Arabidopsis thaliana: one gene and its partners. The protein of the gene in region 1 interacts with the protein of each later gene in a pairwise test. Each region holds a gene or a part of one and is shown on either strand. Other genes may lie near its edges.

Region 1 (5,703 bases):
GAGACATGAAGCTTGTGCTGCGAAAGGTGTGAGGTTTCCATTGCCGGTGATGTTGAAGACTAATGAAGCTGGTTTTAGAGATACATTGGAGGTATGTTGTGATTCTTCTCCGCCATTGAAGACCTCTCGCCTTGTTACTGTACAAAAAGATTCTTGATTTATAGAGTTTTGTGTGCTAGGAGAACATGGAAGCAAGTGAGTGAGAGTTTCTTGCTTTTTGTTGTTGTTTTTTTGTTTAATGGAGTTGGAGAATTGGTGAGAATTGATGGGGTTTGCTTTGTTTTTAGGTACATTTTTGTAATGAATGATGATGAAGAACTCAATGAATGAAGAAACCAGCCTCTGCCTACATTTTGAGACACACACAGGGATGGTGAGTTAAATCTTGATAAGAGAAAGAATGTTCATTTACAATTCACGATTCCGATGTATTTCGGTCTAGTTATTGTTAGTGAACGAGAAATCAAGTGTATGTAAGTCCAGAAACCGTGTAGAGTTGCGATTTGCAGAGAATTGTGATTCTACAATTGGAGGCAAGATGATGAATGTGTGAACTGATTAGCGTAACGGTTTAGTTATTGGTCTTAAGTCTTAACAGGGAGAATTGGTTCTAGAGCTTTTAGTCCCTTTGATGGTTCGTGAAATGCCAGTGGTCTATGATCGGATTCTCTGTTTCCGTTCTCCTTCTTTTTTTGGGCCTTAAATCCGTTTTTATTGGGCTTCAACTTGATAACGACTTTACATTCTCTCGGCTCAAATGGGGTACACTCGTAATGAACATGAATGAACTTAAGGTACTACAATACAACAATGCCTCACACTCTCTAAGTGAACCATTTTTCTTGTGACCTGTAATAAGCTAACGGCGCAGGACAAGAAAAAAGCGGTACGAAAACTTTGCCAATCTAGGTCTTTACCAATTTCTATTTACCCTTTCTAACTATTTTCTATCACTCATTTGTCGTTAATACTAATTAATGACATCAATCATGTGCAATATTATAGTCCTCCAAATACTGAATTGAATTATGAATCCTTCATCAAGTGACTTTAGACTTAATCTACACTTCGCATCAGTTTTTCCACTGCCATACATGATACAACAACCACTAATCAATACAAAAGGATAAAAAATAAAAATAAAAATATTATTACACATATCATAACGGAAACAGCAGCACATGTACTATAAACAAACTCTATCCCAATCTATTTGCAGAAATCTGTTTACCGACTACACACATTTAAATAAAAATTTCAGATTCAAAAAACAAGTTCTAGATCAAAAATATATATGCATGATCTCCTCTTCTTCACCATTATAAAGAACAGAAAAGAATCTCAATATTCCCGTTACTAAAAGGCACAAAAAGTAATTTCCCTAAAGTAAGTAGGGTCAATCTAAAACTAAATACAAAATCCCGGGGCACAAATAGAAAGAAAAAAAAGTATATATTTATTTCCTTAACATTTTATTTATTATTGCTATAGGCTTCCCTCCACATCTATCCCAACATAAAATTCCCTCCTTCCCTCGTTTTCTGCTCTCTCCTTTTCTTTTCTTCTTCCTCTTTCTCTCACTAAAACCCTTGTTTCCTTCACTCGCCGTCGCTTTTCCCGTCATCGGAATCTTCAAATTCGACTCTCGCTTCACTACGATCCATGTCCGGTGTCGTACGATCTTCTCCCGGTTCTTCTCAGCCGCCACCGCCGCCGCCGCACCATCCACCGTCATCTCCGGTTCCGGTTACATCTACGCCGGTTATACCACCTATACGTCGTCACTTAGCTTTCGCCTCAACAAAACCTCCGTTTCATCCTTCCGATGATTACCATCGATTTAACCCTTCTTCGCTCAGTAATAATAACGACAGGAGCTTCGTTCATGGTTGTGGTGTTGTAGATCGGGAGGAAGATGCTGTCGTTGTTAGATCTCCTGTGAGTTTTGGGTGCTTTTGATTCTTCGATTTAGAGATTTTCCCCAGTGAGATTGGTTTAGAAATTCGAGGATGTTTTGGGGATTTCGATTGCTACTTGTTGCTTCTAAGTCTGATTCAAAAGCTTCGCAGCGTTAGATTATCGTCGATTCGTGTCAATTTTTGTCGTTTGTTTAGCTTCGCGATGGTACATTTTGCTCATAACACTGCGTTTCAATTACACCCAATTGACGCAAATCAGACATCAATTTCTCCAATTGCCATGCCAAATTGGCTCTGATTGTTGCGTGAGGTGTTGAATGTTCACATAGTGTTGAGCATTAGCTTATTGATATCAAAGTATTGGTGTATGAAGCTTGACATTGTTTGTTAATGTATAATGTTTCAAGTAGATCCCAATGTTGTGAAAGTTTATGAGGAATGATATAGATAATTTGTGTGTGGATGCTTTAAAACCTTTTGGATGATATTTCTTTGACCAACTTCTTTAAGCTAATAACAACTTGTTTATATGCAGTCACGAAAGAGAAAGGCGACAATGGATATGGTTGTTGCTCCATCTAATAATGGATTCACGAGTTCTGGTTTCACTAACATACCTAGCAGTCCCTGTCAAACTCCTAGAAAAGGGGGCAGAGTCAACATCAAGTCAAAGGCCAAAGGAAACAAGTCAACTCCTCAAACACCCATCTCGACAAACGCTGGTAAGAAGAATTGTATTCTTGACTCTCTACCCCTTTTGGCCTTTCTATATAGTTAGATCCTTTTATGAAATATCTTTCATGTCTAGAGTAACAAGTAAGTCGAAGAGCTGATTACTTTCCTGGTCAACTTGCAGGTTCTCCTATCACACTTACTCCATCAGGAAGTTGTCGTTATGACAGTTCTTTAGGTAATTAACAACTTTTCACATATATATTTAATATTCGATACATGTTATAGTGTATATGAAGATGCTGACATAAAAGCTGTTCAGGTCTCCTTACAAAAAAGTTCGTCAATCTAATTAAACAAGCCAAAGATGGAATGCTGGACCTAAACAAAGCTGCAGAAACATTGGAGGTGCAGAAACGACGTATATATGATATTACAAACGTTTTGGAGGGGATAGATCTCATTGAAAAGCCTTTCAAGAATCGAATACTTTGGAAGTGAGGATTTTTATGATATAGTATGCTTATGTATTTTGTACTGAAAGCATATCCTGCTTCATTGGGATATTACTGAAAGCATTTAACTACATGTAAACTCACTTGATGATCAATAAACTTGATTAGGGGAGTTGATGCGTGTCCTGGCGATGAGGATGCTGACGTATCTGTATTACAGGTGTAGTGAAACAGCATACACTCAAAAGTCATTGTGCATGTAAATCTTAAAATATCATGTAGTTCTCGCTTCCTTTGATTAATGTTCTTGTTTTGTAGCTGCAGGCAGAAATTGAAAACCTCGCCCTCGAAGAGCAAGCATTAGACAACCAAATCAGGTAAGCATTCATTTAAAGAGTTTTGGGTTATTGTGATTAATCTATTTAACCAATGCTGACGCTTTAACAACTTTTATTCAGACAAACAGAGGAAAGATTAAGAGACCTGAGCGAAAATGAAAAGAATCAGAAGTATAAATCTCTGTCTATCTATCTTTTCGTATGGCTAGTTTGTTCTGGCTATGAGATGGTGCTATTTATATGATGGACACTTAACCAATCCGTTCACATTGTCCAGATGGCTTTTTGTAACTGAAGAGGATATCAAGAGTTTACCAGGTTTCCAGGTCTGTCTTTCCTATTTCATATGTTTAATCCTAGGAATTTGATCAATTGATTGTATGTATGTCGATCCCAAGACTTTCTTGTTCACTTATATCTTAACTCTCTCTTTGCTGTTTCTGCAGAACCAGACTCTGATAGCCGTCAAAGCTCCTCATGGCACAACTTTGGAAGTGCCTGATCCAGATGAAGTTAGTCTTTTTCAGCGACCTTGGATGACATCTGCCATTCTTTGTTAGATTCCAAAACGTTATTATAATGTTTCTTCTTTACTTGACAGGCGGCTGACCACCCACAAAGGAGATACAGGATCATTCTTAGAAGTACAATGGGACCTATTGACGTATACCTCGTCAGGTATTTATGCGTTGGCTTCAAATAATAGAAACATTGTTATTGGCATTTTCCGTGACTTCATATACTCTACTGATGATGGTATACATATAATTGAACGTATCAAAACAAAGATTTCTATGATTTGGAACATTCATTGTCCCGTTTACATGCTTTTACTTTGTCTTCATGTTCAGCGAATTTGAAGGGAAATTCGAAGACACAAATGGGAGTGGTGCAGCACCACCAGCATGCTTGCCTATTGCTTCTAGCTCAGGATCTACAGGACACCATGACATCGAAGCCTTAACTGTTGACAACCCAGAAACTGCTATTGTGTCTCATGATCATCCTCATCCTCAACCCGGCGATACCTCTGATCTTAATTATTTGCAAGAGCAAGTAGGAGGAATGCTTAAGATTACTCCCTCTGATGTTGAAGTAAGCCATCTTCCTGCTTATTTTTATAATGAACATAGAAATAGGAAGTTGTGCAGAGAAACTAATTAACCTGACTCAAAATCTACCCTCATAATTGTTGTTTGATATTGGTCTTGTATTTTGCAGAATGATGAGTCGGACTACTGGCTTCTCTCAAATGCTGAGATTAGCATGACGGATATTTGGAAAACTGACTGTATCCTTTGCATATATGCAATTTGTTTCTCTCTTATAGTTAACTATATCTATCTGCATAAGATATAAATACGCAATCCTTAACTCTAGCAAAAGCTGGTATCGATTGGGATTATGGAATAGCCGACGTGAGTACTCCACCACCAGGAATGGGCGAAATAGCACCAACAGCTGTTGACTCAACCCCGAGATGATCGAATACCAAGCACACTTCTCAACTTCTGATCCCAAATGTGTTACCTCACAACACTCCCTAAAATCATATACAAGGAGGGAGCAACTACAGAACGTGTATGAACCAATGGCAGGTGCGTTCCATACAATGTACCATTAGATTATGATTCATTTATCGCCTAGAGTGATGTTGTAGAGGAGCACCGAGAAACTAATGTAAGTTTAACAGAGAATGTACTTCATCGGCTGCATTGGTACACTATTTGATTATAATATTTTTGACCACTCAAATGCATCTTTATAATCAGCTATATGAAGAAATCCAAACTCAAATCAATATCCGGATTAAAGCGGGAAGTTTAAACGAAAACAAACACAAATATTCTCGCTGTATTAATACTTACTGCTTCAATTTACAGAAAACATGAAAAAAAAAAAAAAATCTGTTTTGTTTCAATTCAAAACTTTCATTCACTTTTCTTTCCCTATATATCTTTAAACAAACGAAAAGGGTTTCTTTGTCGAGTCACGTATATGTACGTTTGCGTTACTATGCCGCTGGCTGAGTTCTGGAGTTAGAACGTCGCAGCTTAGCTCGAGCATCAGTGAGGGGTGATCCCGGAATTGTATCAGGAATGTTGACTCCATCATCACCGTTAAATGTTCCGGCGGAGTCTCGGCCTGGTGTTGGTGGTGGTGTTGGTGGCGGCCACTTCCTCCCTCTGCTTGTTTGCTTCTCTAGCGATCGCAACGCAGATAGTGATTTGTTCAGCGGTCTTGGAGCGCGCGGTGATGGAGGATCATTGTCCATCTCCACCGGTGACTGCGCGTTCATGTTCACGTTCCTCTCCGTTG
Region 2 (3,885 bases), 1.0 Mb from region 1:
ATAGAAGGAAATGGTAAGTAGACTCATCATCCACTCTTCAAATCAAGAAACCTCATGGTCTGATTTTGTTTTGCTATTGAGACATTGTCGTGATTTTGGTTGTTGATGTAGCGGGGTCGATTAACATAAGCAATATCTTGACTGGTAAATGCTTAGCTAAGATAAAAGCAAATAATGGTCCTCCTAAGGAAGAGGACTGCAGCAGTAGTGATTTGGGGAATTCCTCTCGAAGGAGAAGTGCGGTTGCTGAGGCTTTGGAAGACATAACCGCTCTCTTCTACGACGAAGAACGGAATGAAATATACACAGGAAACAGACACGGCCTCCTCCATGTCTGGTCTAATTGAAGCTACTCATCATTTGTTTTGTTTTTTTTACATTAATACAAGAGATCTCTGTATCTTGTTCTGTTTCTCAATTGTGTAATATCATGAGATATGTAATTTACTTGTGTGTTTGAGTAGCAATTGTCGTTGTAATGAAACAGCAAATATTTCAAATTCGTCTCTCATTTATGTACACTAATGATTTGTCTGCTTAATAGGGTTAACCATTTTTGCTTTGATAGACTTGTTTACATGAACAAATAAAATTGGCCACTTAAAGAAGATTCTCTCACTCTCGCTGAACAAACAAGGTTTTCAGATTGTTTAGTTTAAGTACAAATCTTTCTAAAGCACACAGCATAAGACACCAAGACAATAAACTTGAGCCATCAGCTTCAGAACTCCAAAGAGAAGCCTGATCAGTAATTTGGCAGAGGTCAGAACTGAGATTTGTCAAGGCTGTCAAAGTAGGGATGATCGAGAGCTGCTTTTGCTGAAATTCTTTCTGCTGGATTGTACTTCAACATTTGCTGCAATTGTTCAAAGGTTCAAAACAAATTATCATCAACTAGGAACGAACCCCAACAGAAAGAATCTACTAAAGAGATCAAGTATGCAAGAGAATCTTAGGCCACTTCTCCAACAATGGTCATATTTTAGAAAAGAGCATTACCGTGAGAAGATCAATTCCTTCAGGAGATAGAGATGGAACAGCACGTGATAAGTCTTGCGGCTCCCACTTTGGATAGACATGCCAGTCACGCAATGCCATTACACCCGGCCATTGCTGCTCAGTTGGTGTTCCTAACAATCTCCAGAACCCAAAACAAAACCATACTTCAGATATATTGATACTAGACAGTCCCCATAATCCAAATGAGTTCACGAGTACTGAACCTAATGGGCTAAAGTCCTAAACTGGTTCCTGTATACATACACATTGGCATCAAAAACAAGAAGCAAATACCTGAAAATATGAAGTAGTTGCTGAAACTCAGAATCACCAGGGAAAAGAGCTTGCCTCCTAATCATCTCGGCTACAAAAAAATGGGGAAACATCAGTAATCCAAACAGTAGAACAAAAGACCATTAAAAGAGACATAGTAGCTGATTACTAACCAAAGATGCATCCAACAGACCAAATATCAACAGCAGTAGAGTAATGAGTAGAACCAAGCAAAACTTCAGGAGCTCTATACCAAAGAGTAACAATCTCATGTGTATAAGCCTTAAGAGGCACAGTAAAAGCACGACTAAGACCCAAATCAGCAATCTTAAGAATCCCTTTATCCTTATCCAATAGAAGATTCTGCGGTTTAAGATCACGGTGAAGCACACCATGGCTATGACAATGAGCCACACCTTTAAAAAGCTGAAACATAAACCTCTGCACAAGAGAAGCCTCAAGCGGTCTAGGATTCGAGCCCTTTCTATGAGAATCTATAAATTTCTTGAGATCAGTGTCGAGATACTCAAAAACGAGATAGAGATTGGATTTGGGAGAGTGAGAAACAGTCGAATCTTTCGATTGAATAACATGTTCGACGCAGAGGAGACGAACGATGTAGATTGATTGAGAAAGCATTTGGAGAAGAGAGATCTCACGGAGAGCCGTTGGTGGTATACCTTCTTCGTCCATTTCGAGCCTAGTTTTCTTCAGAGCGACGAGTTTTCCGGTGGTTTTCTCCATTGCTTTGTAGACTTTTCCATAGGTTCCTTCACCGACCTTTTCGAGCTTCTCGTATTTCTCCATTGATGGAGGATTTTGAATTGAGACTGATGAATGTTTTTTGTTTGGGTCTTATAAACCCTAAAGCCCCTTTTCGATTTTAGATCTGGTAAATAAAGGCGCCTCTTTGCTATAACGTTTAACATTTGAATCCCTCGCACGCTTCACACGTACCAATAATATTTTATTAGTCAAAGACTCAAAGTCATTTTAAACAGATAAGTATAGTATAAGATATTTGCTTGATTATGTTTATAGATTTCAATTCATTATCCATGGTGAATGTTTAGTTGAATGAATCTATGCATGATCTTTGATGTAAAGCCGGCCCTGAGTACAAAAAGCTAAGCTCATGCTTGCAGCCACAACCCATAATAAAGATTTTTCAGTCATTTATTTTGCTAAACTATTAATATTACTTGAAGAGTCGATCATTTCGCATTAATTGGTTGAAACTTCGAGCTTTTCCAACTTCATTTTAACTTTAATCTAGTATTTAACATACTAATTAATAAGACTATAACTGTTTTAGCTTGTATCCCATTAGTTTTCTCCTTATACGTTAATGTTCAATGTTTGGCACAAACTCAAAAAAAGAATTTCTTACTACGTAGTTTTTTTTCACTTACTCAACCAATTGGAAAAATGTTTAGGTTTGATTTTTTGTGTTCGAATTTGTAACTTCAATTATTTTGGGACTGTGAACTCTTACTCATTATTCATTAATGGTGGGTTGTTTCTTGTGTTCTAGGCTTCTAGTATACATGATTCAACTTCATATGATATTGATTCAGTTTCACATTTTTGATTTATTTCAACTTTATATTCTTCTTACACTCATTCCAATTTCATGTATGGTAATTGCATCAGTTTTGATCGATAGTTACATTAAGAAAACCATTTCTTTTTACAATAAAGATACTACAACAACAACAAAAATTCTGACTAGGTCTACGAATGTGCAAGGTATGCAATTTCACAAACTCATAAAAATCATCATAAGAAGTTCTATGTAAAGGGGAAAGAAAAACAAGATTATAAACAAATTGTGTGTTTCATGTGGAAACTAAACAATGGCTGAATATTAAAAAATTATTGGACTACTATACATAAAAGAAAATTACAATAATGAAAAAGAAAACAAAGATAATATTCAATGATAGGGCATTGACTAAACGAAAGAAAATGGCTTAAAGACTTTAAAGTTGATTATGAAAAACCGTTACTGATTTACTAGGGTCAATAAACTTATTTGCAACCATTTTATTAAGGGAATTTAATGAAAAAAACCGTCAGCTTTGGTCAGATCTATTTTTAAATTCTGAACTATGTTTTTAGTAAAACAAACTCTGAACTAAAACCTGTTAATAAACTTAACCCCATAGTAATTAAATATTAATGGGATATTAATTTCCAAAAATCGACCAAAGAACAATGACAGAATCCGTGATCCAACTGAAGATCGTCCACCTCAAAAAGTTCTTTATACACGTGAAAAAGTTTAAATGGTAAAATAGAGAACAATGAATTATGTTTCACAAGATCTTCATTTTCAAATTATTAAATTTAATCTTTGCATATTTAGACTTGCAGCAATTGTCAACAAGTCGGACACAACAAACGTTCATGCAAGTGTAAAGCAATGCCAAAACCACCCAAGAAACCTCAAGGACGACCAAGGAAAAAACAGAAAACAATGGATGAAGAGAACCCTATCACTCAGCCAATACAATCTTCTCTTCAAAGTTAATGCTTGACAAGTCTTTACTTTAGAATATCTTGTCCATCTGAAACGATTGTTTTTTTTTTGTGACAAATATTGTTGTGTTG
Region 3 (4,683 bases), 3.1 Mb from region 1:
CAACAGCAAATAACAAGTTGCTCCACGACACTGCATTAGGCTCAATCTTATTAGTAATCCATATCTCGACGACGGATGCCCGGTGAAACAGCACCGCAAGCTGCTCTTCTCTAACACTAGCAAGCGTCACAGTATCTCCAAATACGGCTCGGAAAGGCAGAGGCAGACGCGGTTCAAATCTTGAAATCAAAGGATAGTAGAAAATCAGGGTGATCTAGTGATGGTAGACCATGAAATGGGATCTCTTCTAGGGCATACCAGTAAGTGTTTCCCTTTAGAGACACGCCACTGTGTTTGTACAAAATATACCAGTCTGGAGTGAAATCATCAATGACCTCCCATGAATTGGAGTATAAACTGTAAATCTGAAGCTCACGAATTCGGTCCCTACTGGTCTCCAAGTACTCATTCACGAATCTCAAGATTTTGTGATTCTTTTTCTCGTATCCGAGAGCGTACTTCACGCACTTGTGGTAGATAGAATTTCTAGGTAATTCGATATACCTTGTTTGTCCCAAATAAGGGTTCCAAACAACAACCCTAGAAGAGTCTTTGTCTCTGTCCTTGTTGATGCATAAGAATAAACCCTTGGCAGTGAAAGATTTTAGATATTTTGATTCCATCTGCATTGAGATTACCTATAGGATCTATAGACGGAGAGAGTAGATCTACGCTCATCAAGGAAACTCTATAGTCCATCATCATCACCACCTCAATTCCATTCCTCTGTTTCTTCTTTAAAAAGCTCTCACTTTTCGTTATAGTGTTCCACTTTTTGCAGGTCAATCGCAGTTTCCCCAGAGATTTCACCGGAACCCTAGAGAGCACCTCCTCCTCCATATCAATTGGAAGATCGAACATCTTCGAATCGAATCTCCCAAAATCTCTCTCTCTTTTCCGTGTCTATCAATCCATCTCTTCACGCCCTCTTTTAGTGATATAACTTATCTTTTTCAATTTGGGCTTTATGGTAATGGGTCAAGGCCCATTAAGGGGTCTCGTTTAGAACTCTTGATTAATGTCTGAAATAAGTTTTATACATTTCTTCATTTGGAGAGTCATTTCGCAGAGACGACGCATAGCTTCTTCACTTGTCAGCTCTCAACGTTTCTCACCTGAAATTTCACTTCTGCTTCGTCTTCTCGAGCCGGATCTCTAATTTGTAAAGCTCCCTCTCTCTTTCTTCTTGTTCTTCTTCGTCTCCTTCTACACTGATGGATCGTTATTTAGCTATTTAGGGTTTTGTGAGTTGCATTAACTAGAGTAACTCGCGAATTCTTCTCCTTTGCCTTGCGATTTGGGGAATTTTTTAGCTCCATCAGCCAATTTTACAATTTTGTATGTATCCGTGGATTTATCACATGAATTGTGGACCTCTGAGTTTTTTTTTTTTGTTAGGTTCTTCTCGCTTTAGTTTTGCTTTTAGGTACATAAATTTTCCTCCTTTATGATTTACTTGCTCTTGGGCTATTTTCTTTTATTTGTTTGGTATGGAGTATGGACTCTAGAGTTTAGTTTAGTTTTTTTTTTTGGGCACATTGGTTGGAATTAGTCTTGTTTTATTCTGAATTGTGTAATCAATATCTGCATGCTTGTGGTGATGCAGGGAATTCTTATGTGATGGTGTAATTTAAGTTAAGATGACGTCTTCTTCGCATAATATTGAGTTGGAAGCAGCTAAGTTTCTGCATAAACTTATTCAAGATTCTAAAGATGAACCTGCAAAGCTAGCAACTAAACTTTATGTGGTAATGTGGCTTCACCACTCAGTGTATGTTTTATTTTGTAATTTTGAGCTTTATTCCTGTGCTTTAACTTTGTTTATTCTTTCGATTACTCTAGATATTGCAGCACATGAAAACCAGTGGAAAGGAAAACACAATGCCCTATCAAGTCATATCTAGGTATTGTTTTCCTTATATATCGTCGCTGGTTATTTGTTAATGAATTACTGATTAGGTTGAGATGATATAATCTTCTTACGCTGTGAGGACGTGGGGGCTGCTTCTTACTGAATCAGTTGCTTTAGCCTTTATCTAACTCAAGACTTTAGAATCTAGTTATTCTGGGTCTTTCAGCGTCAAGCTGTTTCTCATGCTTTCAAAGATTTATCACTTTTGTTTTACTGATAAAGTCTTTCTAAAACTCCCAGGGCCATGGACACTGTAGTCAATCAACACGGTCTTGACATTGAAGCTTTGAAGTCCTCGTGTCTTCCTCATCCTGGTGGTACCCAAACGGAAGATTCTGGGTCTGCACATTTGGCTGGTATATCCTCTCTCCTTTGTTTCAGTTGAGTGTTTCAATTGTTTTTTTTATTTATTTATTTATTATCTTAAGCTTCTTGCATCAATGTGGAATACAGGGTCTTCCCAAGCGGTTGGAGTTAGCAATGAGGGTAAAGCAACTCTAGTTGAAAATGAGATGACAAAATACGATGCATTCACTTCTGGTAGGCAGCTTGGTGGATCAAACAGTGCGTCACAAACCTTTTACCAAGGGTCTGGAACTCAAAGTAACAGATCATTTGATCGTGAGAGTCCATCCAACTTGGATTCTACGTCTGGAATTTCTCAACCTCACAATCGTAGTGAGACAATGAATCAAAGAGATGTCAAGTCGAGTGGAAAGAGAAAGAGAGGTGAATCATCACTTTCATGGGACCAGAATATGGATAACTCTCAAATATTTGATAGCCACAAGATTGATGATCAAACTGGAGAAGTAAGCAAAATAGAAATGCCCGGTAATTCAGGTAGGGATATTTGCTTCAACATTGTTTCTTACAGAACAAAGCATATCCTTTTTAATCTAGAATATAAGAAGCACCCTACAATTGTTGCCATTAAACCTCAGGTGACATTAGGAATTTGCATGTTGGGTTGTCCTCAGATGCATTCACGACTCCACAGGTACATAACACTAAGTTTCCCGAATCCATCCAGATTATATACATATTGTGTACATAACATTAGGTTTATGAAATCATTTTGAGCCTCCCTGACTCTGCCAATTTCAAATATTTTGGGACTTTGTGCTACACGTATCTGATGCACAATAACTTCTTAAGAATGTATAAAGAGATATATGCTGGCACATGGTGGCTTATTCTCCGAAACATTTGTCTCTCCTTAGAAGTATTATTTTCTTATCTATTTTCGTTTTCTGTATTGGAAATATGAAAAAAATGCTTGCATTTCCCGTGGTGATTTTCTTTGTTTTTTAACCTAAAAAACTTAGATGCCACTAAATTCACTTTTTCAAAAACGTGATTTGATTAAAACTTTGCCTTCTATATGATGTATTGAATCTTACTTGCATATAGTCTGACTTAGGCTCTGCAAAATGTCCTTTCCTCTTTTATTTCATACCAAGATACCTCGTTGGAACTCATCCCCTCTATATGTGGGATCTTATTTTCTATGGCAGTGTGGCTGGCAGAGCAGTGAAGCCACAGCAATCAGGCCTGCAATTCATAAAGAACCTGGAAATAATGTTGCAGGAGAGGGATTCCTGCCTTCAGGTTCACCTTTTAGAGAGCAACAACTGAAGCAGCTCAGAGCCCAGTGCCTTGTGTTTCTAGCTCTTAGGTACCTTACAGTCTCCTAGCCTCTGTATACTCCTTTTGGTGCGGCAATTGTAACTCTAAAAATTTCTGGTTGATTTTCATCTCGTAGAAATGGTTTGGTACCGAAGAAACTTCACGTAGAGATTGCCCTTCGAAATACTTTCCGCGAAGAAGGTAATGTTGGTGCTCACTGAAGTTACTTTCGAATCCACTTTTTACATGCTTTCCCTTGGATCATAATTGGTCTTCATTACAGATGGTTTCCGCGGAGAATTGTTTGATCCGAAAGGGAGAACACATACGTCCAGTGATCTGGGTGGCATTCCTGACGTCTCTGCACTGTTGTCAAGAACAGACAATCCCACTGGAAGATTGGATGAAATGGACTTCTCATCCAAAGAAACTGAGAGATCAAGACTAGGGGAAAAAAGTTTCGCAAATACTGTATTTTCTGACGGGCAAAAGCTTCTAGCATCTAGAATTCCCAGCTCTCAAGCACAAACTCAGGTTGCTGTTAGTCATTCTCAACTAACGTTTTCTCCTGGTTTGACCAAAAACACACCATCAGAGATGGTGGGGTGGACTGGAGTAATCAAAACTAATGACCTCTCAACTTCTGCTGTTCAACTCGACGAATTTCATTCTTCTGGTTAGTGACTATCTTAGATGGGATTGTTTTAACTGATGGGTCTTTCCCTTTTGGAGTGTAGTATTGTTAACTAATTTGATTGATAACTCTTCGAATATGGATATATGGCACATAGCAGATGAAGAGGAAGGTAATTTGCAACCGTCGCCTAAGTACACCATGTCACAGAAATGGATTATGGGTCGACAGAATAAGAGACTATTGGTTGATCGTAGTTGGTCCCTTAAACAGCAGAAAGCCGACCAGGCAATTGGTTCACGGTTCAATGAGTTGAAGGTCTTTCTCTAGCCTTTTCTTTCATTGGTGTTACCTTTTGTTTCACGAGTGATTGATTTTTCCTGGTGTCAACGTTTTATGCTGTTGCTTGTTGTTTGTGGTGGTTCTTACTTTTCCGTGTTCTTGATCTTGTTATTGGAACAGATCAATGATCATATTTAAGTATCCGATTTTGGATATAGAAGTGCCT

What was found. The genes of interacting proteins can lie anywhere in the genome.
Region 2: the proteins of E2F3 (region 1) and CDKB1;2 interact in a protein complementation assay, tested with the Arabidopsis thaliana proteins (one large-scale study listed by BioGRID).
Region 3: the proteins of E2F3 (region 1) and SYD interact in a two-hybrid assay, tested with the Arabidopsis thaliana proteins (one large-scale study listed by BioGRID).

The regions. Positions count from the first base shown.
Region 1 is NC_003071.7:15,118,026-15,123,728, forward strand, and holds E2F3 (E2F transcription factor 3), read left to right. Parts: upstream 1-1,563; 5' UTR 1,564-1,662; coding exon 1,663-1,938; intron 1,939-1,974; coding exon 1,975-2,124; intron 2,125-2,454; coding exon 2,455-2,641; intron 2,642-2,693; coding exon 2,694-2,735; intron 2,736-2,775; coding exon of another isoform or gene 2,776-2,829; intron 2,830-2,913; coding exon 2,914-3,088; intron 3,089-3,214; coding exon 3,215-3,266; intron 3,267-3,364; coding exon 3,365-3,423; intron 3,424-3,504; coding exon of another isoform or gene 3,505-3,555; intron 3,556-3,661; coding exon 3,662-3,710; intron 3,711-3,830; coding exon 3,831-3,896; intron 3,897-3,985; coding exon 3,986-4,062; intron 4,063-4,235; coding exon 4,236-4,479; intron 4,480-4,605; coding exon 4,606-4,675; intron 4,676-4,770; coding exon 4,771-4,868; 3' UTR 4,869-5,159; downstream 5,160-5,703. Other genes in the region: EMB3114 (Mitochondrial transcription termination factor family protein), read left to right, coding at 1-157; HVA22J (HVA22-like protein J), read right to left, coding at 5,399-5,703. UniProt on the Arabidopsis thaliana protein: Transcription activator that binds DNA cooperatively with DP proteins through the E2 recognition site, 5'-TTTC[CG]CGC-3' found in the promoter region of a number of genes whose products are involved in cell cycle regulation or in DNA replication.
Region 2 is NC_003071.7:16,150,745-16,154,629, reverse strand, and holds CDKB1;2 (cyclin-dependent kinase B1;2), read right to left. Parts: upstream 2,158-3,885; 5' UTR 2,080-2,157; coding exon 1,446-2,079; intron 1,364-1,445; coding exon 1,294-1,363; coding exon of another isoform or gene 1,224-1,293; exon of another isoform or gene 1,139-1,223; coding exon 1,000-1,138; exon of another isoform or gene 857-999; coding exon 764-856; 3' UTR 544-763; downstream 1-543. Other genes in the region: AT2G38630 (Transducin/WD40 repeat-like superfamily protein), read left to right, coding at 1-13, 112-347. UniProt on the Arabidopsis thaliana protein: Together with CDKB1-1, promotes both the last division in the stomatal cell lineage as well as the number of stomata.
Region 3 is NC_003071.7:12,055,131-12,059,813, forward strand, and holds the start of SYD (P-loop containing nucleoside triphosphate hydrolases superfamily protein), read left to right. Parts: upstream 1-1,640; coding exon 1,641-1,748; intron 1,749-1,842; coding exon 1,843-1,904; intron 1,905-2,152; coding exon 2,153-2,268; intron 2,269-2,365; coding exon 2,366-2,755; intron 2,756-2,856; coding exon 2,857-2,912; intron 2,913-3,429; coding exon 3,430-3,590; intron 3,591-3,677; coding exon 3,678-3,742; intron 3,743-3,824; coding exon 3,825-4,217; intron 4,218-4,332; coding exon 4,333-4,493; intron 4,494-4,683. UniProt on the Arabidopsis thaliana protein: Catalytic component of the chromatin structure-remodeling complex (RSC), which is involved in transcription regulation and nucleosome positioning.